2 linked regions of the Nothobranchius furzeri genome follow. The protein of the gene in region 1 purifies or fractionates together with the protein of each later gene. This does not show direct contact. Links are inferred from orthologs where the notes say so. Each region holds a gene or a part of one and is shown on either strand. Other genes may lie near its edges.

The links.
Region 2: the proteins of baz1b (region 1) and myo1ca purify together in Homo sapiens (affinity purification with western blotting; 3 studies listed by BioGRID, with this or other methods). This does not show direct contact. The link is inferred for Nothobranchius furzeri from reciprocal best matches to the Homo sapiens genes BAZ1B and MYO1C.

What each region holds. Positions count from the first base shown.
Region 1 is NC_091753.1:33,343,092-33,346,908, reverse strand, and holds part of baz1b (tyrosine-protein kinase BAZ1B), read left to right. Parts: intron 1-45; coding exon 46-190; intron 191-1,300; coding exon 1,301-1,493; intron 1,494-1,565; coding exon 1,566-1,687; intron 1,688-1,814; coding exon 1,815-2,012; intron 2,013-2,109; coding exon 2,110-2,295; intron 2,296-2,376; coding exon 2,377-3,691; intron 3,692-3,782; coding exon 3,783-3,817. UniProt on the Homo sapiens protein: Atypical tyrosine-protein kinase that plays a central role in chromatin remodeling and acts as a transcription regulator. Involved in DNA damage response by phosphorylating 'Tyr-142' of histone H2AX (H2AXY142ph).
Region 2 is NC_091750.1:48,614,559-48,618,247, forward strand, and holds the end of myo1ca (unconventional myosin-Ic), read right to left. Parts: intron 1,624-3,689; coding exon 1,553-1,623; intron 1,482-1,552; coding exon 1,384-1,481; intron 1,297-1,383; coding exon 1,197-1,296; intron 1,066-1,196; coding exon 1,039-1,065; 3' UTR 765-1,038; downstream 1-764. Other genes in the region: uncharacterized protein, read left to right, coding at 36-194, 299-484.

The sequences.
Region 1 (3,817 bases):
CTACTGAAACGGTTCATCTCTACACTGATCACGTTCTGTGTGCAGGCTTCAGGAAGAGTACCCTCCTTGGTTTGAAAAGCCTGTCCTTGAGATGGTGCACCACAACACAGTGTCCTTAGACAAACTGGTTGAAATGGCCTGGTTGGAAATCCTCACCAAGTATGCCGTGGGTGAAGAGTGTGACTTCCTGGTTTGTATCCCTGCTGGCTTTTCCAAACCTTCCTTTTATGTAGCGGATGTGTTCTACATCCTGTTGTTTTTATTCCTTGGCAGGATCTTTAAAGCAAAACCACCCATGTTTCTCAACTGCCTAACGCAATTAAAGTATTAATGTATAGTTAAACAGGACAAATCTGCACAGCAACAAATGTGTCTTCATCTTTATAAAGTTGATCGTGATTATCCTGTTATCTTTTCATTGAGTTTGAAAAGCAGTCAAATATACATTTTACTGAGAAATTGTAAATTTAAATGCTTGTTTAATTATTTGAGATATTTAAGTTATTATGAAAGTTCAGTTTAGCAAATGTGACAGTTAACCTGCAGAAAATTGAATGAATGATTTAAAAAGAATAATTTAGAAACAGAATTCTGATGGGTCAAGCAGAAACCGAGAGAAACAGGGTAAAACAGGAAATAAAAACAAATAACTTATTTGCCAATTATAAGAACAAAATGATCCCTCACGGACGACCCACCGTTTTCAATCTGGGTCTAAGATTTAACAGCAAGCTTCAAAAGATGTACTCTGCTCTCTCCACCTATTCCACCTTCCTCAGGATCCACTGATTTCCCTCTTTCCTACTCACGCTTTCTTTACATTCTTTAATCACAATTGTCAATATTTTGCTCATTTTAAATATATTTGTAATAGTTTTCTAAATTCTTTTTTATATTTTACATTTTTTATTTCTGTGAAGCGCCTCGTGGTTTTTATCTTGAGAGGCGCTGTAGAAAATATATTTTCTTCTTGTGGCAGGAACATCCTGCTGGCAGATGGAGACGCTCCTCCATTTAAACAAGCAAAATCATGTCGGCCATGTGACTATTAAATGCGAGGTCTCACTTTATGAGCTAGATACCAGCGCCGACGCATCGGTGTTGCTGGACCCATCGCTATTTTTTTTTTTTACATATTACATGTTTTATGTAAAATGAATAAAATTAAAATAAAGCAAAATACAATAACATATTTTATAAATTAATAAACATGTATGTACATATATTTTGTTTTATAAACTAAAATGAAATGAAAACCTAATAAAAGGCTTTTATTTCTCTCCCAAATGATCGACCCCAGGTGGGGAAAGACCAAAGTTTGCGTGTGAAAGTGATGAAGGTTCATCCTTTAGAAAGTCCTGAGACTGAAGCAGGTGAGAAGAAGCTGGAAGGAGCTTGTGACTCCCCATCTAGCGACAAGGAGAACTCCAGCCACGAGAACCAAAGGAAGGAGCCTCCACCCAGAGAGGAGGAGAGCAGGAGGGAGAGTTTAAGTAAGAACCAGCCCACCCTCCCATATCGGCGACCTTGCTGCGTTGATTATAGAATATCATTCTTGCTCCTAGGTGACAGAGCACGGCGCTCTCCAAGGAAATCTACCACCGCTATGAAAGAAGAGAAGAAGAAATGGGTGATGCCCAAATTCCTGCCTCACAAGTACGACGTGAAGCTCATCAATGAGGACAAGGTTTGTTTGTCAGCAGAACTCAGTGTTGTAACCGGATCTGTTTAATGTTATGTACGGCGTGTAGCAGCCCTGCCAAGTTTTTTTATGCTGAATTTGAACATTTTCTTTGTTTTTCTTTCTGCAACAGGTGATCAGCAGTGTCCCTGCAGACAGCCTCTACAGGACAGAGCGTCCTCCAACCAAGGAAATCGTGCGGTACTTCATCAGGCACTATGCTCTGAGGGTGGGTAATGGAGAAAGCGCTCCCTGGGTGGTTGAAGACGAGCTGGTGAAAAAGTTTAGTCTGCCCAGCAAGTTCAGCAGCTTTCTTCTTGATCCGCACAAGGTAATCTAATCCCGACATGTTCTGGCAGCTGTCTGGATATCCGGGGTTCGTGCTTTTGGCTCAGCCTCGTTTTATACTTTTGCTTTTTTGTTTGAAGTTTCTGGCAGAAAATCCCTCCACTAAGCGTAAGAGCGTGACATCCCCCGAAGGCAAATCCAGCAAGAAGGTTAAGACGGGCGACACTCCCGGAGAAGACTCTGGGAATGGGAAGGGAGAGAAGAGGAGGAAAAAGAAGGATTCTCTGAGTGTACCTCTCAGTCCCACCATATGGGGTCATATGCAGGTTAGTCACTGGTTTCCAGATTAAGGCCCTGTCCACACGCTTTTGCCAGAACTCATCTTTTTCCTACCTGTATTATTTCAGAAAATCAAAATGAACGGCTCTCCACTCAAGGTGAAGAACTCTGGAAGTCCAAAGAAAGAAGGAAAGGGATCAGCCCCCTCCACTCCAAAATCTGCCAAGAAGCTGGGCGACAAAAAAGAGGGAAAGAAAAGTGGGAAAAGTGGCGATAAGAAGCTCAACGTCCTCAAAGCCTCCCAGAAAGATGATAAAACTGGTGGTAAGACGCCGAAGATGAAGCAGATGACTCTGCTACATCTGGCTAAGGGCACACCTGCAGGGAGTCCTAAAAAGAGAGCTCGCAGTGGGAGCCTGGGCACTCCCAAACTTGGAAAACCGCTGCCCCCTATGGCTCTGCATCTCCTCCGTTACTACAAGGAGAACAAGGACAAGGAGGATAAGAAGAACCCACTTTCTTCCCTCATATCAAAAGCTGCAAAGGCGTTATCCACTGAGGACCGGGATCGCCTGCCAGAAGAACTGAGAGAGCTGGTAAAGAAGCGTTGGGAGCTCCTGGAACAGAAGAGGCGCTGGGCAGCCATGAGTGATGCAGAAAAGGAGGTGGAGATGAAAAAGAGGCGCGCAGAACTCAAAGAGAAACTGCGAGAAAAGGCCAAGGAGAGGCGAGAGAAGGAGCTGCTCATCCGCCGAGAACAATCGCGTAGATATGAAGATCAAGAGATCGAAGGAGGGAAGACACTGCCCACATTCAAGCTGGTGGACATGCCTGAAGGGATTCCCAACACCCTGTTTGGCAGCGTAGCGATGGTTGTTGAGTTCCTCCACTGCTACGCGGGCCTTTTGATGCCCAATGATCAGTATCCAATCACAGCGTCGTCTCTGATGGAAGCACTGGCAGGAGACCGATGCGGTTTCCTCTACCTGAACCGTGTGCTGGTGGTGCTGCTCCAGACGCTGCTGCAGGACGAGCTGGCCGAAGGCTACGGTGAGCTGGACATGTCCCTGTGGGAGATTCCTCTCACCATGCATTCGGCGTCAGAGCTGGCGCGGTTGTGCCTGAGGCCGTGCGACGCTCACGAAGAGAGCGGCCAGGGATCGGAGAAGTCTGGAGGCGTGGGTGACTTTGATGACGTGGTGAGCAGCGAGTTCCTGGAGAAGCTAGAAACTGTGGAGGTGTTTGAGCTGAGCCCAGAGGAGAAGGTGGAGTTGTTGGTGGCTCTGTGCCACCGCATCCTCATGACTTACTCCGTGGAAGACCACGTCGAGTCAATGCAGCAGCGCTCCGCCGAGCTCTGGAAGGAGCGCCTGGCTGTGCTGAAGGAGGCCAACGACCGCAAGAAAGCTGAGAAGAAGATGCGCAAGGAGATGGAGAGCAAAAGTAAGTGGGCTCAGTTTCAGCTCAGTAGTCAGACGATGGTGTTTCAGCTTTGTTCTCATAACGTGTTATGTCTCGTTTCCTGGTGTCAAAGGTGAAAAGAAAAAAGACGGGGGTGCTAAAAAGGAC
Region 2 (3,689 bases), on another chromosome or scaffold:
AGGACCGGGATCGGCTGCATGGTGCGTTCAGGGACATGCAGGTCTACTGGAACATGCTGGAAAAGAAGAGAAAACAGTTGGAGAGGGAGCAGATGGAGCTGAACACTGTGCACGCCACCCAGCACAGTTTAATCCAGCACTTCAGGCACATTCAGCTGGATCTACGGGACCTGATGAGCCAAGTCAGCAGTCAGGTATCCGCAGTCTTACTGTCACCCGACAACATTAGAGCATGTCCCCACAAAGGAAGTGACACTAAATCTGTTCTCATGATCTTTGTTTTGCTTTCTTCATCCAGATGAAATTAATGAGGAACTCCTGGATTAGGCCGGCACTTAGTATTGTACACATGCACCCAGAGGGAAGCGTGAAAACGTTGTGGGACAGCCGAGTGGAGGGCTACATCGTCCTGAGGGACCTGGATCTTTACCTCACAAAGCTGGCAAGAGACTTTCTTCTGTTGGCTTCAAAACCGCTCTCATGAGAGGAAAACAGCCAGAAAAAACGGGGAAAAGCTGGAATGTCATAAAACAAGAATGGGAAACACAGTTGGACTAACACAGTTTGGTACTCGGGACTCTGGTATTCTTTTCAGCGGTGATATCAAAACATTTTTTTGGGGTATTTTCCAGTTTCTGTCTCACCTCTAACTGGAAGTCAGAGACAACTCTCAGAGGACATCCCAACATCCTGTTTCCTTTTTTTTTACCACAACTCTAAACTTCTGGACTTTCCGACGAAATATTTACTATTTATTGACTTATTTATTGACATGTTATTTATTTAAAAGTTGTTTGCTTAAGTTATCCAGGAGTAAGGAGATACAGTGTTAGAGAGATTTTTACATTTGTGTGCGTGTCCAACAATAAAGCGATTTCAAAACAAAAGTTTGTTTCACCAGCTTGTAATGTTTAAATAGTTACTGGTAGTTAATAGTTCTTCTTGTGGAGTATATTTTTGCATTCTTTGGTCTGCTTCTGTCTGCTGTACACTGACAAAAACAGTGTGCCTCGGGTGGGAGGATCGATCTGGTTCTCTTCAGGTGGCGGCGATCCGAGGAGCAATCTGAGGAGTCCAGTCAGATTTAAGATAGTCAGCTGGATGAAATGTTTCTCTTTAAAAACAAACAAAACAAAAGCAGCCATGCCTCCTCCCTGCAGACTCCTCACATGACACGAGAACAGTTGCTGACTCACCACGACCAGATGTCCTCGTTTGCCTTTGGCCACCTTCAGCTCCGAACCCCTGATGAAATCAATTATTCCTTCTTTGTTCCGGGCCACAGCGACGCGAATGCTGCGTTCCACAACGGAGGAAACACATCAGGAGATCATGTTGGAAAACTTCACACCCACAAGATGAACCAGGCAGCCCTAGTCTCACCTGCCAGGACTGACGTTCACGTAGCTGGTCTTGCCGGCCAGCATGGATAGTTTAGTCACCAGCTCGATCACGTGGCTGCAGTGTATGACAGCGTCGCCCTGAGGAACACCAGCAGGATTTAAAGTAGCTGTCTGTAGAAAACAGACACGAGTGCCTTGTTCTGCTGTACCTTCTGTTTGTTATCCTCACACGGCACATGCAGAACAACCATCCCATCCATTAGGGAGCTCACTGAGATGCCTGGTTCAAAAGAACAATCTGGTTTGAACTCATTTATCTACACAACACGATCACAACGAAAATAACTTTTCAGCAAGAAAACTGAATCGACTACAGGTTCAAAACCTTCACAAACCGCTCAAAATTTTTCCTGAAGATAACCCGAGGCATAATCAGTTTGGTTGCCATGGATATTTCTGCTGAAAGTAAATTCAAGTACTTTGACTGCTGAAGGTCAAATAATATTAAGTTTGATCACTTGAACGTGACGGGGATGATAATCTGTGCTTGATAAAGCTGTAGCAGCCATCTTGGATTAGAAGAAGTGGAAAATCTGATGATTTCTCTGAGTTTTGTTCAAATTTTCCCAGATTCACAAGATATTATAGTAAAATTCAGACAAATCATCACATTCAATTCAATTCAATTCAATTTTATTTATATAGCGCCAAATCACGACAAGAGTCGTCTCAAGGCACTTCACATAATAAACATTCCAATTCAGGTCAGTTCATTAAGCCAGTGAGAAATAATGTTTCCTAAATAAAGAACCCAGCAAATTGCATCAAGTCACTGACTAGTGCCAGTGACTTTACAGCAATCCTCATACTAAGCAAGCATAAAGCGACAGTGGAGAGGAAAACTCCCTTTTAACAGGAAGAAACCTCCAGAGAATCCTGGCTCAGTATAAGCAGCCATCCACCACGACTCACTGGGGATCGAGAAGACAGAGCAGGCGAACACACACACACACACACACACACACACACACACACACACACACACACACGCACGCACGCACGCACGCACACACACACACTCACACACACACACACACACACACACACACACACACACACACACACACACACACACACACACAAGACAAAGTAATGTGTCTATAGTTATATCGTGATTTCTTAGTAAATATTCTATTTGGTGAGAGATAAACTTTATTGTATTTATCCTAGTGGATATATAATTAAATGGATAAACTACCAGTAGCACATCCAACGTCAAGGAAAGCAAAAAGTTTAAGTGGTTAGTAGCAGTGTGCCAGACGATGGCCCCCTCCATGAGGCCACCACAGCTCAGCAGAACATCATTGTAGCTTCTTCTGGGGAGAAAAACACTTAGAGAGAAAATAAAGTTAACAGCTGAAATTGCAGAAAATAATACAGTTAAAGAACAGATTGTAGAAGAAAGTAGTAGAGTGTGAAAAGTGGTCAGTGTATCCTCCAGCAGTCTAAGCCTATAGCAGCATAACTACAGAGATAACTCTGGATAATCTAGCCTTTTAGATGTAGGCATGTTGGAGGCAGGGCAAGGGAGAGCCGTCTTTACCGACTGTACACTCCACCTCCCTCTACTCCCCCACTTGTCCAGATTTAGGCTAACATCAGATTTTAACCATAGGCCCTATCAAATAAAAATGTTTTAAGCCTAGTCTTAAAAGTAGACAAGATGTCTGCATCACGGACAAGCTGGGAGCTGGTTCCACAGGAGAGGAGCCTGATAACTAAAAGATCTGCCTCCCATCCTAATTTTACATATTCTGGGAACCACCAGTAAACCTGCAGTCTGAGAGCGAAGTGCTCGGTTAGGAACGTATGGAACAATCAGATCACTGATGTATGATGGAGCTTGATTATTAAGAGCTTTATATGTGAGAAGAAGGATCTTAAAATCTATTCTGAATTTAACAGGTAGCCAATGAATGGAAGCTAAGACAGGAGATATATGATCTCTCTTTTTAATTCTCATCAGAACTCTAGCTGCAGCCTTTTAGACAAGCTAAAGACTTTTAACTACATTCTGAGGACTTCCTGAGAGTAATGAATTACAGTAATCCAGTCTTGATGTAATAAATGCATGAACTAGTTTTTCAGCATCACTCCTGGAAAGGATGCTTCTAATCTTAGCAATATTCCGAAGGTGGAAAAAGGAAATATTGCAAACCTGTTTAACCTGGGATTTGAATGACATGTCCTGGTCAAAGATAACACCAAGGTTCCTTACTTTGTTCTCGGAGATTAATGTAATGCCATTCAGGTCAGGTGATTGACTAAGCAATTTCCTTTTCTGGA